Lytechinus pictus: one gene and its partner. The protein of the gene in region 2 purifies or fractionates together with the protein of the main gene of each other region. This does not show direct contact. Links are inferred from orthologs where the notes say so. Each region holds a gene or a part of one and is shown on either strand. Other genes may lie near its edges.

Region 1 (11,559 bases), on a different chromosome or scaffold from region 2:
TGATTTTTAGAATTTTTTTTTCATACAAAAAATAAAAATGAATATAAATTGGAGACCGGTGGCCTATCAAATGTCATGACTAAAATAAAACTACGTAACAAGCATCCCGTATTATTGACTTAGAAACCAAGAAAATTGAAACAGACAAATCCTACTTTGAAGGCTAAATAGCAACATAATAATAGGCATTTATATAGTGCCATCTATCTAGAAATATTCTATTCCGATGCGCACAAGAAAAGAAAGAATGAGAAAGTTTGGATGAGTGTCAACGTGCCAATAACTAATACTGTTAGAAAAGATAAGACTTCAGTTTAGATTTGAAGGTCTCCAGTGATGGTATAATTCTTAAATTCAATGGCAAATTATACCAGAGAGAAGGTGCTGAGGTAGAGAAAGCTCGCGCACCATATGCTACACGTGTCTTGGGAGTCTTAAGAAGTTACTGGTGTGATGATCTTAGGCTACGAGCTGGTGTATAAGGCATGACAAGGTCTTGTAGATATTTTGGTGCCATACCATTTAACACTTTCCAAGTGAGAAGAAGTACTTTAAATTCTATATGCTTCCGGATTGGCAACCAATGTAACTTTTGGAGAATTGGTGAAATGTGTTGATATTTGACGTACCAGTTAAAACCCTGGCAGCTATATTCTGAGCATACTAAAGTTTTTTGACATTGCATGAGGTTACATTGAAAAGAAGAGCATTTCCAACATCTAATCGAGATAGTACAAATGAGTGTATAACCATAGCAGCAGACTTATGGTCAAGGACTTTCCTAATCTTATATTAATGAGACTTGAAAATATTTGATAGTGTTACTTACACTTCCAGATCCAGATCCGTATTCACCTGACATTCTGACTTGACTGAAATAGAAAAGAAAATAGAAAGCTTATTTGGCATCTATTTTTAAATAATATATCAACCCATTTCTTCATTCTCAAATTCACCAGATAACGATGCACACTGATATCTTCCGGGCTGATATTACATCATAAGTAGCTTGTATTGTTGGAAGAGACTTTGAAAATACAGCTGAAATTCTAGAAAACAATAAACTGGTACATTTTCTTAAATCATACAGCATTAAAGTGTGTTCACATCAACTTTTTTCAATTATTTGTCATTTCAATTCTAAAACATGTGACTTTAAGCTAATGATTAAAAGTTATATTTGTGATCTGCTTTCAGCTAAATTTGATTGAAGTCATAACCATATATTATTTGACTTTAAAATTATTCAAAAATAGGTATAATGCCCCAAAGAAGCATATTCAACAGACAAGAGCTTTGCAGCAAATTGATTTCCTGAGAGAGAATGCCTGATCATGTGTTGCAGTATTAGTCGTCAGTAAATTTGAAGGATTGCTGATTTTTAAATAACTTGTCAGTCAGGTCATTCATGACAATCTGAAGTTCATAAAAATGATAAATATAGTAGAGGTGCTGGTCAGAAATAAGGATCACTCCAGTATTCAAGGATTTCTCCACACAAGAAATCTTTCAAATAGTTCATTCACCTGTCAAGTGCCGACATCACTTGAGTGTGCTAGTCAGATAAACACATGAGGTTTCCTATCAAGATTATTGGAAGATGTCCAAGTCATAAAAAATAGACGGTGATCTGGGGGGACCTGATTTGTTGGTGAATGGATCTATTTTTAGCACTCTCAATCCCTGCAATTGCCGTCTATGTCCCGCAGGGGAAGTGAAAAAAAAATGTCCTCATAAACAAGGCCAATCTCAGTTTCTGGACTAGCACCTCAACTGAAAGTGTTCAATATTCCTTAATAATAGAGAGTTTACATCCACATTTAATTGTGGGTAATTTCAACATAGATCGTGACTTCAAGCTGATTATTGCAAATCCTATTTTGTTCTACATTAAGCTGCAATTAGTTTTCAAATTAAATCCGATCTTGAGGCTTGCATTTAATCTTTAAGTGGAATTGTGCCAAATAAGAAATACATAAATATCCTCAATACATGTGAGCTTCACAGCCTACTTCAAAAGTGGTTTTCTCACAGAATGCCTGATCATGTTAATATTTGCAGAACTGGTAGTCTGTAATAAGTCCCCCAACATACTTGAAAGTTAGAGGGTCTTTGATTAATTAAATCACCTTATTTGATCACGAACTTGAAAACAGAACTAGGGTCTAGATCTAGAGTAACCTGCCTACAATTCAACATGTTAAGCTTTTCTGCAATATTTTTTGTTCTAAAGCATCTTTTCATAAATGAAATTTGCAACAATATTTGTTGAATATAATTTGTCAAATTTTAATTGCAATGTTTATTTTCACCTTACACCTTAATATTTAATGAGATCTGGATATGTATTGTCATGTTTTGTGGCCACAATTTGACAGCTCCTGCCCTTCGTTCAGCATAGCACATTGCGGGTTCAAAAGTCAATGTGTGAGAGCGTCCGTGCAATGCGCCTCACCACATACAGTATGCAACATGAAGTTGCAGCGGCCATTTGCTCCCAAATCAGGCTCAGACCCCATGTTGAAAGACGGCCTTGTTGGAAGATACGATCTTAAATTTGCGAGAATATTCACAAACTCGGAATGACACAACAGATTTCTTCAATCTTAGTGCGGTTTTCTGTGACCCTGACTAAGCTGCCGCATGCTCTGGAAATATGGCTAAGATTCCACATTTTTAATGATGAATTTTGACTTGTCAGAGGGGATTTTAGAGTTGAAAGCAGAACTTTCAAGTGGTGAGTGATAGTGTCGTGTATATACATAACTTGTGAAATAACTTTGCCATGTTGATTGGAGGCACATGTCGAAATTCCAGGTGCAGACGTCCCTACTGTAGCCTAACGATACAGGCTACGATCTGATTTTGAATTCTGGTTTAAAAATAAAAAAAATTATTTTCAAGGGTCATTGCATTGTCATCCTTATACCAAAATCTTCGGCCTTCTGTTATATTGGTTGTTCCGCTGAACTCTGTTGGCTCCACTCACCAATTACATAGACCGAAGTTCTACTCGAACTGTAGTGGGACTCAATGGCCATATGTTTATGTATTAAGTTCAGATAAACCAAGGAAGTGGGAGTTGCGCGACAGCCAGACGTCCCTTATTTCCCGGGATCGTCCCGTATTTTGCTTTGTCCTGGCGTCCCAATAAACCCTTCCCGGGACGCCTATTTGTCCCGTATTTCTGAATATTGAACGAAACATAATTAATACATAGAAAGTGACAAAATTTTCATAAAATAACTGGCAAATAACCAACAGATGACTAAGCAGAGACAACAAAATTGATTACTGTAAACTTTCGCATGTTCTGCGGTGATTTTCTTGCTACACAAGTCTGCATGTAGCCTCCTGCCTTTGTGTGGCAGGCTACTAGCTAGGCGTACGATCAATGGAGCAGATTCTCAATGGTGCAAACAATCTCACATGATAAACAGTTTTTCCACCAAAATAATCACAAATCAGCAGGAAATCTTTATAATTATATTATGGATTCTCAGATTACTTTAATATTTAGTGATGTAATCGGAGGAGCAAGTTGAGTTTTCATAACTAGATCTAGTTGTTTCAGCTTTCGTTTGAGTATTGTTGTGATCTTGTAATTGAATGAGAGATGCCTGTGTGTGATGCCGCGATGTTTCATCTAATTTTTTAAGTTTGACAATGTTTAATTTGAAATTTTATTCATTTCTAAAACATTTTAGCTTTCTAACAATGTTTGAAATATACATGTATTTAAAAAACCCAATATAATTAAGATTTTTGTTAGATGATTAGATCTTTTGATTGCTTGAAGTTTGAAGGTTTTTCCTTCCTTCCTTCCTTTCTTTTTTTCTTTCTTTTCTATCCTTCTTTCTTCATCCTTCTATCCTTCCTGCTTGCCTTTTTTGTTCCATCTATCTTTATTTTCAATCTTTCTTTCCTGATCCTTTCTATCCCTCTGTTCATTTATCTTTCTTTCCTTCTTTCTCTTACTTTCCTTTTTTCTAATTTCCTTTTTTATTTCTTTCATTCTTTCTTTCCTTACATTTGTTTTTCCTTCCTTCTCCCTTCCTCTTCTTTTCATTCTTTTTCTGCTTCCATTATTTTCTGTCTTTTTTCATTCTCTCCTCCCTTCATTCTTTCTTCCCTCTTTTTAATCCTTTAAATTAATTCTTTATTTTATTTTTTCCTTCTAATTCTTTTCCCTATTCTTTCTTTCTTTTCCTTCCTTCCTGTTTTTCTTTCTTTCTTTCAAAGAATGAAGGAAACATTTTTTCTTTCCTTCATTCCTTTTTCTTACTTACTTTTTCCTTTTCTCTCCTTTATTTTTTCTTTCACTCATCTTCCCTTCCTTTCTTTTTCTTTCTTTCTTTGTTCATTTCGAAGAATGACAGAAACCTTTTTTCTCTCATTTTTATTCTTTCTTTCATCCTTCTTTCAGTCTAACTTTCTTCCTTTTATTTTTTTTCCCTCTCAATTCATCTCTTTTCTTTCTCTCCTTCATTCTTTCTTTCAATATCCCTACCTTTTCTTTTAAATTTTCTAACATTGTGTAGCCTTCTTTTCGATCCGCTCATGCATCGTGCTTTGTTGATCATCCCGTATTTCATTTAGGGGACAGCAAAAGTAAGTCACTGTTTTTTCTTTTAGTAAGTCACTGTTTTTTCTTTTATTAAGTTTATTTTTTCCCGTTTCGGTGCAATTCACTTTCAAGGCCAAAACGGAATAGGCCAAATACTAATCTTTATTTAGGTCCAGTTCTTTATATATATTTTTATGAAATAAAGACAAAAATCGATAAGCCCGGTCTGTAGGATTTTGCATTGTTAACCCCCTCATGGCGGATGACGGTTGCACGATTGCAAGCTGTCAGAGTCTGTGACTGTACACGTACGACTACATGTACGTCTACGACTACGAGAATTAAAAAAATAAAAATGTTAAAAACTCCTTGAAACAGACAGCTGCGGAGCTGCCAGCTGTCTATCATATGCCATCCTTGATGCTCTAGCTACTCATTATTATTTATAGACTTCCAAATCACCAAGTTTGAAAAAATCAAATACATGCAACATGCTGGCATTCTGTTCGAGAAATGTTAAACTTTTTTCGGAAAATAAGTAGAACCAAACATTACTCAGATATCTGCACATGGGACTAGATTTAGCAATTAACATGACGACATCATGATCATCCAGGACACACGCACGAAAACATAGCCAGAGAGGTTAATTCTTGGTTAAAATTGCAAATACCGTTACATGTTAACTACAATAGATACAAACCTGACTGCTATTACTGGTCGCCAAGCTTTTAGGAAAGATGTACGAGCTAAAGCCATTGCAGTTTACAAGATAGTCCCAACAAAAAATGGTCGAATAATTTTTCTTTCTCAATTCGGACTTTTCCGATTCAAGCTGAAGATGGCGCTATACCAGATATGATACAGGGGGGTGAAACTCCGCTTCTGCATCCGGTCAGAATTGAAGAAAATTTTGGAGGGTCAAAAGTGCACACTGCTCCCATTTTTCGTATACAAGCCTATGGACACCGCCACTGTTTTGGTACACCAGCGAAATGAAGGCGTGGTCACGGAACGTCCTTCGCGCATAGCGTAAAAATATGTAAATTAGTATTTTGTCACTAATTAGCATAATGCGCGACCTGATTAATATCGTTTATGGTGTCTGTCAGTGATTACATCATGTCAGATCATTCGTTTTTTTCCTCCTCAGAGTTTTATTATTCATCTATTTTAATGATCTATTTGTTATTGCTTGTTACGATTATTACTGCATCTTTGCTTTGTTTTAGCTGCAAATGGCCAGGATCTTTGCTAAAAAATATTACAGAGGAGGTTCCCAAAGAAAATGTTGCCATATACGATGAAATCTCTTTAAGTTTCTGGAGCCCTTTTTTCTTTTTATTGCAGAAAACGAAATGAACCTCTTTTCATAATATAAACAAAGATAATAACAAATCAAATTCTTTTCCATAATTGTAGTCTCCAATATAAGTCCTATTATGAATAGCAGTCCTCGGAGCACTTAATTTTAAATGGCGACTTCTATGTCAAACATCAATAATCATGACCTAGGTATATACTATATTTTAGGGGGGAGGGGGTTCTCAAAATTAAATAGGCAAGAGAGCAAACCGATCGTAGGCTATTTCTTTTTTATTTTCAACTGAAAATGAATCTGGTGTAATTTTCATTTGGAAAGAAAAAATACATTTTATATGCAGGTTTCAAAAATTTGGAGAAATAATTAGCCCCCCCCCCCCCCCGTTACGAACAGTAAGGTCTTATAATTGCTTCTTTCAAAACAAACTGAACTTTCACCCCCCCCCCATCTCTCTCTCTTTCTGTATGTCTCTCTCTCAGAAACTGACATAGCTATATGCATACAAGCAAATAATTATCCTGTCATTTTACTTTCTTTCCCACTCTTATCCTTATTTTTCTTAAATAATATTTTAATTGACTGCTGTTTGATCTCATGTAACAGTGGCATCATCACATTCCAGTACAGTGCAACATCTTGTGCCATTTGTGCATAACAGCTCAGAAGCAATACATCATCACAATTAATTGATAAATGAAAATTACCAAGATCAAAAAATTCAATTCAAAATTAACATGTTTATTAAGGGATCCATTTTCTAAAACATTGACATTAACATAAAAATAATAATTAGCATCTACCAAGCATTAAATTGTATTTTAAAAAATGAAGGCAATGCATAGCTAAAAAGGGCTGTTACTGGGTAAGGGTAGTATGGGGTGGGTATATAAATGTACAAAAATAGGATTAAGTACATTTTTCTACATTGTACAATGTTTGTTAAAATTTCATTCAAAGGATCTCGATGAGCCTATAGTTAATATTCCATAAAAGAGCATAAAAACCTTTGATATTCGTTTATTTTCTTCCACAAAAGTTTATCACTCAAAAAAATTGGTAAATTCCTTTCAAATTTGCTGACAAGAAATAGTCTTCTGATGTGAGAGCACTCCTCATAAGGGGGGGGGGGGGTGGGACACAATGCCAGAATCCTAAAGAGTGCCTTCCCCAATCAATACATTAGTGAATCATTAACAAAATTTGATTTGTCTACTGTCACTGTGCTTAGAATTCAATCTATTTTTAAAATATAGTCTATTTATATATTATTGCAGTGGTAGCCCATTTCACATTTTTTTAAAATGAAGATAACAATAAATGCAACTAAATAATTTATGAAGACTTGCAGTGGCGTACCGTAGGTCACGGCATCGGGGGGGCACCAGCAAAAATTTTGAGACCGTTTCATATCTCTTCTTGGCACTTATGTTGTGATACCAGTACTTAAACAGCTTAGGAAGTGGGAAACCTGCATGGTAAAAAAGAGAAAAGAACATAATAAGCTGTAAATTATTTTTACTCATCTAGTCCAGTTTAGTAAAAAAAAGATGTAAACTCTATTTTATATCTTCAGTGATAAAACAAGTTTAGCACATGCAGTCACTTTCGTCCCACATCCAGATAAATTCATATATCAATATAACTATCTACAGTATGTTTTGAAAATAAAGAGTGAAAATTAATTCAAATATTTATCAGAATTTTGTGATAACTGTTAATATCTTGGGTTTTTTATGCAAATGCATGTATAGACAGGAGATATGGATAATTAGTATGCAGTGTTAGAAATGGAAATACTGGTGAATCTGAATTCAAACAAATATTAACTCACAATGGAACTTTAACATTACATGATATCGCATCATGTTTCAGCACAATTGGCCATAGCCCACCCCCTCCCAAAAAAGGGGAAATATTCATTTATTTATTTATTTATTTATTTATTTTTTTTTGGGGGGGGGGGGGGTGATGAGCTTAGATACAGCCTGTATATTATCAAAACAGTAAGCATACCTTGCAATTTTTCCATTCAGATATCCTGTTCCTCATTAGATTGTAACTAACACTTGCTAATCGGCATGGTTCTCAATTTTGTACTTCTGACTAGGTGTGAACTGCTAAGAACTTGGTCCCACTGGATCTGCAATTGACAATTTAAATTTGAGAGTTTTAGAGATAATAAAATTACCCTTCTTAAACAATATTTTTGAAATTTCCAGCTGCCCATATCCCAGGTCTATGAATGAATATTCCAAACTAGAACAAAAAAGTTATCTGGACCCGAAACTTCATTCTCTATCACATAGAGGCATAGGCCTACCTCACTCTGTTTATAAAAGTAAAATGATTCCAACCACATATTTCTACAGCTGTATATAGCTGAATCTGGTCTATGCTGGGCCTGTATAACTTAAGAATAACATCACATTTGAATGAAGTAAACACTAAGAACGTTTTCAAATTACCACCCCAGGCCGGACCCAGGGTATCCTGTTCAAATAGACTTGATTTAGGTCTAGGGTAGGCTACGCCATTTCATTCAAATCTAAGACTAAGACAAGTAACACTTAACATAACAGACATTAATGCTAAGTCAATCGTATTTCAACACTGATTATTCTGAAGTAAAGCGTTCCTGAATAAAAGAAACTGCTGAGAATTATACTTATTCATATGAAGATGAAATAGAGGGGACGGACTAGGCCTAAACTTCAACTTTCAAGCTTGAAGTTTGGGCCTAGTCCGTCCCCGCTATTTTCATACCCCATGACTACATCGACAATCTCGCTCGGCTAGCACCGGCGATATCAAAGGCCGGATCCCGCTCTGACCATATCCCTACATTGACCTAAATTTGAATAGGCCTAAAATCGACAGTTTGTCGTTACTAAAAAACAGGAGGTCGGAAACAAGTCCACATCTACCCCTGATAATTGTCTAATCACAATAAAACTAAAATAAATGTTTACTTTGGACCTACATGAAGCATTCCGATGAATGTCTAGATCTACGACAAACTATAGACCCCTAGTCCTAGATATAGTATTTTTGAGAAACTCAATGATCACACTTATTTGGAAGTCAGGCAAAAGAAATATATTGAAATTGAGGTTTACATACCGTAGTGCGTAATACAGGATGAGCCCCGAACCCCGGCAAACACATTACAATTTGCAAGTGAGATCAAAACATGAAAATGAGCGTAACTTACTTTTATTCCTATGGAATGTCATTAGAATAGTATTGATGTTCCCTCCAAGATTTTCCGCTCCAATGAAGTTCACTCAGAAACCATGATTTCGAACATCAATTATATAAACAGATAATTAGTCTAGCTATTTCGTTTCAGAAACTTCAAATTCGCAGAGTCCAAAAGAACGACACTTCGCACAGATATCGTAGGGAATTGTGGGACGGAAAAAAATGTTTAATGCATGAGTACATGAATAAAACATTAGCGTTTAATCCAATCATACAAGTGCATTATGCGTATTTTGACGTCATTCTCATGAATAAAACATTGACCCTCCAAAATCATCCTTCAAATTGTCCGCCGGCAGCCATGTTGGCTATGTACAAAACCTATGGGAAATAAAAACGCGCGGAAAGAGTTCCCTCTCTAGCTCCCTTCGGGAGCTTACGTATACGTAAGATCGTATCTCTGTGATATGATATCGTATCTATGTGATAAAAGCGTTGAATGAAGATGCCAAGTATATTATGGCTCACATGTTGTTCCGAATTACAGAATTTGCTTTTCCCCGGCAAATATTTTGAAGAGCATTATAATTCATGATTTTTTTAATATATTCCATACAGTCACTGATTCGCTGAAAGCGTAATTTCTAAGTCCAGTTAAATCTAGTGTAAACTTGAAAAAGCCGTGAGTGACTTGGAGGGCCGGAGGGAGTTAAAAAAAAAAAAAAAACAATGTCACAAATGAGATCATCAGAATAAGTTAAGAAACTACCCAGGACCAAAATCCAATTGAAACCAGTTGGATTTCCAACTGGTTTCAATTGGTTTCAATTGGTTTCAACTGGTTTCAATTGGTTTTAACTGGAATATAACAATTTCCAGTTGAAACCAATTGAAACCAGTTGGGCAACTGGAAATCCTAACTGGAACCCGTTGGGCAACTGGAAATCCTAACTGGAACCAGTTGGGTAACTGGAAATGACTTCCAACTGGAAATGATTTCTAACTGGAACCAGTTGGGTAACTGGAAATCCTAACTGGAACCAGTTGGGTAACTGGAAATGACTTCCAACTGGAAATGATGTCTAACTGGAACCAGTTGGGTAACTGGAAATCCTAACTGGAACCAGTTGGGTAACTGGAAATTACTTCCAACTGGAAATGATTTCTAAAGTCTGGAACCAGTTGGGTAACTGGAAATCCTAACTGGAACCAGTTGGGTAACTGGAAATCCTAACTGGAACCAGTTGGTAACTGGAAATCCTAACTGGATCCAGTTGGGTAACTGGAAATGACTTCCAATTGGTTTCCAATTGGAAATTTTCCAGTTACCCAACTGGTTCCAATTGAAACCAGTTAATTTGCATATTATCTGCCAGTGTGCACAGATTAATGTTTTATGTGATTCATCATCATTTAAAATGTATCTATTTAATTCTTTTCTATTTCAAGTACCATACTTGTTTCAGATAAGTGTTTAGAATGCTTAGCAGTGAAAACCATGTTCATAAATGGTATAGATTATAATTAAAACAGATTTTAAGATAATTAGTACACCACTAACTGTTACCAAATTACATCAAATACAAATACATATATTTGAAGATCTTTCATGTAAAAATATATACATTATGAGAGTTTATTTATCAATGCCCTTTACATTGGTATTATAGACATCTAGCACTGCTTCTTTGTTGGCATGAGCAATAGGTTTTGCAAAATCTAATTAATTTGTAACTAATTAAGTCATTCCAACTGGAAGTTCCAATTGGATCCAGTAGGAAACCAATTAGTTTCAATTGGTTCCAGTTGAAACCAGTTGCCTCCAATTGGTTTCAACTGGTTTTAATAGGGAAATTGGAACAACTGGAACCAATTGAAACCAGTTGCCAACTGGTTGCTTAATTGTTTTCAACTGGAACCAATTGAAACCAATTGCCAACTGGTTCCAGTTGCCCAATTGGTTTTAACTGGAACCAGTTGGCAACTGGTTTCAATTGGTTCCAGTTGTTCCAATTTCCCTATTGAAACCAGTTGGCCAACTGGTTTCAATTGGTTTTGCTCTAATTGGTTTCAACTGGATTTTGGTCCTGGGTATTAATAATATCGTTGATAATGTAAAATGTTTTACTAAATATGGGGTCTGGTAATGTTAGTTTGCATCCAAGCGCAATAACCGCCTCCTTACATATGAAGTAACCTGTTCAAAAATCGATAACGAAAACGATTAATATTTGTTGGTGCAGTATGTAAATCCAAAATCGGTGATTGGGAAGAGATCTAGGTTTTTATGGGTTCTTATTTTGCTTAACTAATCACATTTAACCTATAGAAAACTTAAAAGAAAAGAAATAAATTAAGAGTCATCGGCAGGAGTCCCAGTCGCGCGACAAGGCCCTCAGGCTGGGAAAAAGGGGGTGCTGCTGAAGCACTCCCCCAAGATTTTCCTAGGGGGTGCTGCATGTATTAT
Region 2 (11,191 bases):
ATAAACATTGCAATTAAAATATATTCGATAATTGATGAAAATTTCGAGCAGGTTACTCTATTATAAAGAGGAGACCTATTAAAGGACAAGTCCACCCCAACAAAAAGTTGATTTGAAAAAAAAGGAGAAAATCCAACAAGCAAAACTCTGAAAATTTCATAAAAATCGGATGTAAAATAAGAAAGTTATGGCAGACTGATGACGTCACCCACTCACTATTTCTTTTGTATTTTATTATATGAAATATTCTAATTTTCTCCTCCTTGTCAAGTGAAACGAAGTTTCATTTCTCCCTGAACATGTTTGAACCATTTTAGCCATTGTTTTAACAGTTTATGGTTAAGTTAAGTTGGTCCTTCTTGTCAAATCTGTAAAAATTGAAATATTGTATTATTCAAACAATAAAAAACAAAAGAAATAGTGAGTGATGGACATAATCGACTCTCTCATTTGCATATCACTGATTTGTGCATTTAACTGTTTTGTGAAAAATAAGCGAAACTTAAAGATAAATTCCAGTTTTGGTAACGATCTAAAAATGACTTTTTACAGAATCTAATATAATGACCACCTAAGTGTCTGTTTGTATGAATAAAAAATATGTGCCAAAGGATTCTGGAAGAAATTGTGTAATTGCTGAGAAATAAGCAAAATAAGCGCGGATTCGGTCACTTCCGTCGGGTCTTTATTTTAGCAATAATAATACACTGTCCCACGTGTGCCTATCTGTGTTGGTGATCTTCAGTGTGAACATTTTTCAGCGTAGATTTCAAGATTTCACAAAGTTCAGTTTATGTAACTGTACCAGATCTAGATCCTCGATGATATACTGACAATTAAGCCTTGTTTTACAGACTTTCTCATGAAATCAGTGTTTACTGCAAATACTGGAATTTCTCTTTAAAATGTCATAACTTTCTTATTTTACATCCGATTTCGATGAAATTTGCAGCGTTATGTTTGTTTGATTTTTCTCTATCGATTCAAATCAACAATTTTCTGGGGTGGACTTGACCTTTAAAGATGCTCATATTCAAACATCTAACGTTGACCACTTTATCAAACTGTCAAGGGGGGGGGGGCATTTTTTACTTGCCGTACGGCCGCCATAGAGGAAATGTGACTGCAGCATTAGGTATTTTTGATTGATTATTAAGCCCTAAATAATAATGAGAGAGAGCCAGCTGTGACATGTGTACTTAAGGGAAAGAACATTGATTTAATATCAGTGTGTAAACACAAGCTGATGCTGTGGCAATAGGGATGTGTTTAAACCTAGATCCTGTTCAGTGACAAGCAGTGTACATGTACGTACATGTATATGTACATGTAGGTACGTTTTAAAGATTGATTTTTAAAATAAAAATACAGGACGATGATATAAGCAATGTTCAGACAAGTGCCCTACTGCCCTGCATACATAATTGTATGCTACAGCTGATGCTGTATAATTAGCAGAAAGACGTGTTCAGACCAGTGTTATTTTTTAGTGAAAATGATATTGATTTGAATATAATGTGTAAGCAACAGCTGATAATATAGGTACAGGTAGGTGTTCAGACCAGTCCTGTGTAACGAGTGTAAAAGATGTTTCTGTTCAGATCAGTGCTGTAATATGTTGATTAAATTATAATAAAAATAGCTGCTGCTGATATACCATTACATGTTCAGACCAACCCATAATTTCTCTTCCTTGAGGGAGGTTCACATTATACAAGCTATGCTTTTGAGTGAATCTCCCATTTCCACAGATACCATTTTTGCTATTTAGATTATATATTATAATTTGTCTACAAAATGCACCATATTTTATATATTGTATGTTAATTATCATTGATGTTTTTGGATATAATTCTAATGACAATGATTTGTATCGTAAATATTTGTTATAAATGTATGAAAATGATTTGTATCAATATTTATGTCATTTCTGTTGGAAATAAATCTGAAATTTCTTTTTTATTCCAATGCGTAAACACTGGCCAGTATACATGTATGAGGACCATGTTTTCTTCGACCCAATCAAACTACAAATGTCACTATCAGTTGTAATTTTTAAAGGAAAATGTGTATATATAATTCTAACCAAAACTTTTAAATAATTTATGCATTCTATGAATAATTTTTTGTCTTATTTTGTTGAATCATCAATTGAAAATGAAAGAATAAACTTTCAAAGACTTTTATAGAAATGAATGAACTTTCCCTGAGAAATCAAATGCTCAGTCACTTACAACCTTGAATACATTAAAAGGAAGATTCCTATTTTTGAATGAATAATATTTTATATTTAAAACAAAATGATGGAGATAATACTGTAAAATAATAATAAGAGTTTTGAATAGGAAGTACGGGAGGGGGAAAAACACAGAAAGCACTTGAGAACTATTTTCCCCAGTGCTAGAATAATGAAGGCCATGATCAGTGCATGTATGAGGCTGTTCTCACTACGTTCCTAAAACTAGTTTACTGGAAACTAGTTTAGTGGAAACTAGTTTAACGCGTAGTGAGAACGGTCGAAGCGGTCTTGGAAGCGATCTTCCAAACCAGTTTGGAAAACCACCTCGCGATGTAGTTTTCAAGATTGCTTTGCCTCGTTAAACTGGTTTTTTTAATAGCGTAAGTGAGGACACAACCGTTCTTCGGGAAGCAATCTTCGCACATTTGGAGCACGCTACTCCACACGACAGGTGTAGAATGCCTACATGCATGCTGCGGTTTCGAATTTCGCGCGAAACTTGTCACCCCACTGAGAGCGTTTCCATAGCAACAACAGCGCTTTACGTGAAGTGATTTTGAAAACCACTTTCGTGTGATCAAGTGGGAACGCTAGCAAAGCGATCTTCCAAAGTGGTTTCCTGAATCGGTTTCAAGTAAACTAGTTTTAGAAAGCGTAATGAGAACGGCCTCTACAGTATGTCTGTCTACATGCAATCATTTGAATGCTATGTTGGAGAAAGACGTTAATATTGATTTTATCCTTTATATTGATTTTGACTCATCCTTTAGGTACAATGAATGATTTATTTTGACCTTTCACCCTGGAACATGGTGTATTTCTCTGGCTCATTGATGATCATTCTATTGTTGGCTCTGTTTCATGTCTGGATCCATTGATTCTTTTCTGTGTTTTTTTTGTTTATTTTTAAAATGATTTGATGGATTGAGTATCGGTACTTGTTCTGTGGAAGATGGAAGAGTGTTATGGGGAATTTGATCATATAGTTTTGTAGATTACATGTATGTCATGGGTTACCCGCGTGCCAATTTTTGTCGTGATCGCGTGATTGACGGCCGAGATCATAGGGGGCGGGGGCTAAATAAAAAAGGGATTATTTTCCCTCCATAGCCTACAAGGATAACTTATTCCATCAATGTTATCACAGCAATTAAAACGACTGGTTAATCTTTAAGAAAGAGTGTAATTTATACATTTATCTACAAATAATTGTGAAACTTTGCTATACTCCCAGCCCCTCTTCAAGTAACAGGGTTGTTTGATTTAAATCATGTCGATTTAAATCATGATTTAAATCGCGATTTAAATCAGTTGATTTTTTTTCAAAACAATCACTGATTAAAATCAACTTTTATGAAAATTTTTTTTCTCTATTGTATATATATATATGAAACAGATACTTTCAATGTAATCATTTTCATTTCTGTTCCACATGCTTTAGAGATACTTTAAAAGAATGATACACCCTCATGGAGTCTGATTTAACACCACTGTTTTATTTTCAAATTGTAAAACAAGCAAAACTGATGAAAACAACAAGTTTCTAACGAAGTAATGATAAATAACTCTCTGTATGTACACCAAAAAATTTAATCTTCAATAAAATAATATATAAAATCTACAAAGGTGGTCAAAGTCCACAACTTGGATACTTTTACAAAACAGCTGAACTACTTGTATGTACCTCCTTCTTGTTACTATTAATACCCATTCTTTCAATAATAAGTTGAAGGCATATGTGTACATTTGATAAGAATTACATGTATATTTGCATGCTTGTGTATTTTCTTATCAATACCCATACATTCAATTACACAATTTCAAAGTACACATGTATACTTAATAAGTAAGAATTTAAAAATGGGAAAGTTGCTTGGCAAGTGTTACTGTATGCAGCAATACAACTGCTGTGCTTGCTTGTTCATGTAATAGTTTGAAAAAAAAACAGCACATCAATGATGTGGTGGACAGTGGTGCTTATCCTGCATCTTGCAACGAAATTTATTGAAGTATTATTTGGAACTGAGGTTACACTGTAATGAAAACATAAAATGTGTATTTTGTTACAAGCATATCAGGAAGTGCCTATTGCAAATCTGGTTAAATATTACATTCAAATTAGATGTTAACGTACAGTTGTGACTTGCGAATGCTTTGTATACCAGATGTAGCTCTAGAGTTGCAAACCCTATTTCTGTGGAAACAAGTCTTATATGATAAAGCTTTACAATGACTTAAAGGCATTGGTTAACATTGTGTTCAGTTTTAAAAATCTGAGTTGCATGTTCTCACGTGTATGCTAACATGTCTATGGGAATATAGAAATGAAACAGAGCAAAAAATGCTTTAAAGTGTTATCATTTAGAGAAGCACTCCAAAAAAGTAAAAAAAATAAAAAATAACCTGTATATAATAAAGTGGATTATTGTGTCAAATAGTACAATACACAATGTTCAAAAGACTACTTGACCACTATTATTGGTGTAAAACAGTTTAAATATAGTTTAAAACTTGTTAAGTGTGACCATTATTTTTCGTTGGAAAAAAAAAAAAAAAATCTGATTTAAATCATAAAAATCCGATTTAAATAAAAAAAAAATCTGATTTTTTTTTATTTAAAAAAAAAAAAAAAAAAAAATCAACAACCCTGAGTAAAATGCATCCATGCACTGTATAGTTGAAAAGAAGCCAGAAACTTTACTGATAAAGACTGTACATTTTCTTTGATTCTAGATTTCAATTTCCCCCATGTAATCCACAGATTCAAAGAAAAAAATAAGGTCACTGGTAACTTTGTACATCCAACATACATGTACAAATCACATTTGTAGATTTTTTTGTCAATGCATGTGCCCTACCCATTTTTATAAATCACCCAAATTGAGATTCTCACTTAAAGATTTTAATTCCATGTGTAAACTGTCTAAACATTTTTGATTATCATCTCTCGACCTCTTCTCGTACAATTAGCTCATTACATGGATGAACTGTTGAAACTGATTTAATCATCATCTCTCAACCTCTATGACACTGTCTGAACACAATCACCTTTCCACAGGTGCTTTAGACATATTGACACATGTACATGTATGTAAATGTAACCAGCAGGGAGTTGGGAGTTTATTCTGAACTACACTGTTGGAATGAAGACAAATGAAGATGATTAAAATTAATCATCACTTGCGTGTATGTACATAAATCTATAATTGCCAGCTGTCTGAACACTCCCTGTAAACATGATCTGCTGCACCATGAGTAAACCGTCTAAACACACTGCCCTCGGGAGGCTTGTCTTGCAGACTGTGCACACATTAACATCAAGCCTCCTTCTTGAATTATAGGGATTCTATCTTTTTATCGTAGAGGAGACCGTGTTTGACGGTCAAAATATGGGATGTTTGTGCAATATGGTTAGGAATGGACAATGAAAAAGGTCAGTCGAATAAGGATTTTTGTAAAAATTTTATCTCAGTTTGTTTTATGTGGTCTCAATATTTATGTTTAGCAGCCTGAAGAAGCTACCTTGTCTGTGATGAGAATTAAGAAATTTCATCTTCACCTGATCTCATTTTGTTAAGGATTGATATATTTTCTTTGATTTTGATGGATTTCATATGTATACATGTAGTTATCATTATTGTTTTTTTATGATTGTTTGCTTTTGCCTTTTCTCCCTTATTGAACAAGTTTTGTTCTTGAATCGATAAAATGCATCCATACTCATCCATCCATCCATCCATATTGTTGGATCACCTGTTGTTTCATCCTTAGGGAGGTTTAATGTCACATGTCGTGTGATGCATGGGATTCGATGCCAGATAGGAAATTCATACTGGGTAATTATATGACACGGTCGTCAACTTTTATTGAATGAATATTACATGTAGGCTCCATAGTGTACAGGGGCCTACAGTGCATTCATGCTACATAATAAATGTCACACGAGGCATGACATTAAGTATGCCAACATTTAATTGTGTGCATGAAGTTCCTTTTCGTCAGAATATCAGATGACATAAGAACTTGCAGTGGTGTGATGAGCCAAAAGTTTTGAGGGGGCTAGATATGACGTATCGCACCAAATTTATAAAAAGTTGGGAGCGAGCAAAGCAAGCTAGCAAAAATTTTAATATTTTGATTGCAAAAATTAAATTTTGTGATATTCAGAAAATATCACATTTCATCCTTCTCTTTTTTTCTTTTCTTTCCTTTTCTCTTTGTTTTCTTGATCATGAAAAAAATTGGGGAGAGGGGCAAGAGCCCCTCCCCCCCCCCATCTGTATGCCACTGATAACTCTGTGAATACATGGTACACAACACATGCAAAAAGGGTTTTAGTCTTTTTTTTGTAATTAAGATTAATAATGAACAATGATCTGTGGCATAGATTTCAGAGCTATCGAGCAATTCCATATATTATCAACCTTAATTTTGTATGTTGGACTCCCATTTTTTTTAGTCTTTCTTCACTTTATAAACTGCCCAAGTCATGGTCCTTTGAGAAATTACAGACTATCAAAAGAACAAAAAATCAGAGACAGAAAACTTCATGAAGGTCCCATTGGGGGTCGGATGTACATATTATCTGGAATTGCCCTGTTTGTATTTTGATTTGATTTGTTCTTTTTATTAAATTTTTTTATTTTTTTTCAGGGGGGGGGGGGGTAGGTGCATTGTAGGAGTGAGATTCAGTGACATTTCAAATTTCAAATACAAAGACAAAATTAAATTTAAACTGAGTCTTCAGTCATCTATGATCAGACTAATTGGTGTATTGTACAGCAGTAGTGTATTTTTGAGGAAACATCAATATTGATTTTTACATTATAAGAATATTAAAGTAAAAGGCAAAGCGCCTTTTTATTGTGATTCCTTGAATTCAGCATTAGCAAGTCATCTGCAAATCTGCAACCTTTGAGAGCAAAAACACAATTACCCCCACTGCCAGGAAAATCCAAATTAAATGAGAAATATGCCAGTAATATTTACATACTGTAGCCTATGTATTCACTTTCACTTTCAGTGTATTTTTCTATTATTTATTTTTAGTATTGTACAGTAATATAATACCCTGTGACAATAGGGTGTCTACATACATGTATATATCTACGGAGGCATTAGTTATAAATAGCGTTTAGTCATTTTGGCTTACATTGATGATCTCCCTCCCTTGCCCGTTTCATGTAGAATTTTTTTTTTGGAGGTACAATGTAATATTAGTTACTATTACCCTGTGGTGATGGGGTTTTCTATCCATGTGGAGGCGTTAGTCATAAATAGCTAACAATGATTTTCCTCTCTCCCTCTTCCAGTCTGTTTCTTTGCCCCCAGGAAGCGAGAAATTAACCAACATTTCTAGTCATCACAAATCCTTGCTAGAAATAGACCCAGTCACGGCCCGAATAGTATACAGACAATGATTGTAGCATCAATCACCCATGATTGTTCCTGATACTTTCTATTTCTAGTGCCTCCTCCTCTTCATTAGTTTACAAGAGCTTGTTTTCAGCACCTTCATATTTTACTTGGGTCTGGAATTATTATCTTTCTAGATGACAGCTTGGCCAGCGTTATGCATTGTTTGTATAATTGCTGTGCACTCTTTCCTGCTTTTGATCAAAGACACTGTGTTTAATGTCAGACTAACACTGTTTCCAGATGTTGTTTTTGGATTGTGTTAAATTCGAAGAAGATCTTATAAACGTTCTTAAATAATAAACTGTAGCAATGGAGCCTACATTTAGTGAGTATCTGTTGTTATTTTGACATCATGCCTATGTTTGTTTGTTGGGGTTGGGGTGGGGGGTTATTGCAACATTATGTAGTGCTTTGGTTTTTTTTGGGGAAAAATAGGTAGGTGATTTCTATATATTGTTTGTATATTTTAAAGTACTTACTTTATTGTAATGTACATGTACATGAAATTAACAATTGTTTTGCAGTATTTTTTTCAGCCTGAAGACCTTTAAAAAAAAAATCAAATTACATGTATACTTATTTTTAAGGCAAACTTGATGTCTTTTTGTCCAGACGTATAGAATAGAATCACATCTATAAAACATTATCCATGATAATTTCTTCTGTGCTTGTTTGTGAAGAAGAAAGTGCTTACAACGCTTGCTATGTATTATGCGGAATTAGTTTTGAGAGGGTTTTTTCTCTGTATCAATTGTTCAAATCACTGCCGCAGCACTAATGAGGTGTTGTAGCTCAGTGGATAACTCTCCAGACTTTGAACAAGAAGGTCCGGGGTTCGATTTCAATGCAGCACTCCCGTCCTTTGGCAAGGTGTTTGCCACTCTCCACCCAGGTGTATTAATGGGTGCCTATTAGGGAGAAATTCCTTGAATGCTTGAATGTGAAGTAGTGTTACTTGTTATTGGGGATAGACCAGGGCCCCGTCTTACAAAGAGTTGCAATTGATCCGATCAATCGCAACTATGGAAAGCCAGCAAAGTCAACATATAAAATGCATGTTTGTTCAAAAAAAAATTATAGATATGAATGTATATCCATAAATTCATTGATATCTTGACAATTTGGTATGATCTCCTTTGTTTACAAAGGACATTTTGCAAATTTCCTGTAGAAAAAATTATGACACTGATGGATTTCCATAGAGTTACGATTGATTGGATCAATCGTAACTCTTTGTAAGACGGGGCCCAGTTTTACCTGCTTATTCACACACTCTTATTCCTCCAATAATTCTTTCCCGTAGGACATTCCCCTTGCCTCTTCTCTTTTATCCTCTTTACTTTGTTCACTGCCTTCAAGTCCCTTCTTCCGTACATTCTGCATTTTTCACTTTCATATCTTGTCTTCGATCTGGATCCTCTGGCCCGTATTCTGAAGTCGGGTTTAAAGTTGTGGTTTAAGTATGGACAGCCAATTGTTACATAAATCACTAACGGTAGAGATATCATATTCAGCTCATACGGCTCCCAAATAATAATAATAATAATAATAATAACATTTGTAGGGCGCTTTATACTGGTGTTTCAAAGCGCACAGGTTGGCAGATTATAATAGTATACAGTCAATCGGTCAAAAAAAAAAAAAAAAAAAAAAAAAAAAAAAAAAAAAAAAAAAAAAAAAAGTTAAGTTATGAGAAAAGGTGAGCTTTAAGTGACGATTTGAAAATTTCTACGGAGGGAGCATTTTGGATATGAATTGGGAGTTTATTCCAGAGGGTGGGAGCAATTACAGAAAATGCACGATCACCATATCGGGTCTTAGTGCGAGGGCCATGAATTAAATTATTGGAATATGATGAACGTAAGGATCTGACAGATGAGGAAGAACGAAGGGAAATAAGGTCTTGGAGATATTTGGGTGACATATTATGGGTAATTTTGTATACAATGAGTAGAATTTTGAACGTTATGCGAGAGTGAACCGGAAGCCAATGAAGTGATCGGAGAATAGGGGTGATGTGTTCGTGTTTCTTGCTCAAGGTTACCATTCTCGCTGCAGTGTTGAGGATTCGCTGGAGGGGAGAGATGGAAGAAATTGGGAGGCCGGCAAAGAGGGAGTTGCAATAGTCTAGATGGGATGAGACGAAGGCATGAATGAGTTTTTCAGTAGAGGCTTGGTCGAGTAGTCGCCTGACCTTACCAATCCTAAATAAACCCCATGATGCTGATTTGCAGATGTTCCTGATATGTGGCTGGAGGGTAAGGTGCTTGTCTAAAGTGACACCAAGGTCTTTGACAGAGTCAGACATCTTAAGTATGCCCTCTCCCATATTGAAGTCTGGCAGAGGCTCCGTAGCTCTAAATTGCGAAGAAAGATGTACCAGTTCTGATTTGGCTTCGTTGAGACGGAGTCTGTTCTTCGCTGACCAGACCTTGATGTCCTTGAGGCAGTCACTCAGTAGATTAACAGCATATGTCTTCTGGTCGGATGCCATGGATACGTAGATTTGCGTGTCATCTGCATACATGGCATAACTCACACCCCGATGGCTAGTGATAATTTTTGCAAGAGGACCAGTGTACAGAAGAAATAGGAGAGGGCCCACAACAGAACCTTGGGGGACTCCGCAGCTCAAAGCGAAAGGTGCTGAGAAAGTTCCATTGATAATCACCCGCTGAGTACGATCTTGCAGGTATGACTCAATCCAATTTTGAGCCGTTCCGGTAATGGAGTAGTCATGTGCAAGACGCTGGAGCAACACTGAGTGGTCTAAAGTGTCAAACGCCGCAGAATAGTCCAGTAGAAGGAGTGCAGCTTCGTTACCCTTGTCGACGGTAAGCAGTAGATCGTTGAGTACTTTCAAGAGAGCCGTTTCTGTTGAATGAAAGTTGCGATATGCTGACTGCTTCTCAGGAAGTAAATGATGACTGTCCACATAGCACATGAGCTGGGATGCGACGATTCTCTCCAAAACCTTGCTAACAAATGGCAGGTTGGCGATAGGGCGATAATTGCCAAAGTCATTCGGATCAAGATTGGGCTTTTTCAACAGAGGAAGAACTAGTGATGATTTGAATGATTCAGGGACAACACCTGTTGTGAGTGATGAATTGATAATGTTTATGAGAAGCGGTAGAAGTTCATCAATACAGTCTTTGAGCAACCAAGTTGGAAGAGGATCAAGACTGCAGAACTTCGGTGGTAATGACTTGATGAGATGGCGAAGTTGAACTTCAGTCACTGGAGTAAACTCACTCAGTTTGCAATTCAAAGAGCCCACAGGATGTTGTTGATCACTAGGAACGTCAGGTGCAAAAGAGGACACAATATCACTGATCCTCTTGCTAAAGAATTCACTGAATTTGTTGGCGAGATCAGAAGCAGATGAGTGTTCAGGATAAATGGAGGACTGAGAGGGGGTGGTGAGTTTCTGTACAATACTAAATAGCTGTTTGGAGTCGGCGTTAGCGATTTCAGATCTAAAGTATTTTGATTTGGCATCAGTGAGGAGATTGTAGTAAGTTTCGCATTCTT

The links.
Region 1: the proteins of myotubularin-related protein 9-like (region 2) and ATPase inhibitor A, mitochondrial-like purify together in Homo sapiens (affinity purification with mass spectrometry; 5 studies listed by BioGRID and IntAct, with this or other methods). This does not show direct contact. The link is inferred for Lytechinus pictus from reciprocal best matches to the Homo sapiens genes MTMR9 and ATP5IF1.

The regions. Positions count from the first base shown.
Region 1 is NC_087245.1:28,597,077-28,608,635, forward strand, and holds the start of ATPase inhibitor A, mitochondrial-like, read right to left. Parts: upstream 5,406-11,559; 5' UTR 5,327-5,405; coding exon 5,271-5,326; intron 873-5,270; coding exon 830-872; intron 1-829.
Region 2 is NC_087253.1:7,995,089-8,006,279, forward strand, and holds the start of myotubularin-related protein 9-like, read left to right. Parts: upstream 1-5,641; 5' UTR 5,642-5,656; coding exon 5,657-5,672; intron 5,673-7,622; exon of another isoform or gene 7,623-7,966; coding exon of another isoform or gene 7,967-7,982; intron 7,983-11,191. UniProt on the Homo sapiens protein: Acts as an adapter for myotubularin-related phosphatases. Increases lipid phosphatase MTMR6 catalytic activity, specifically towards phosphatidylinositol 3,5-bisphosphate and MTMR6 binding affinity for phosphorylated phosphatidylinositols.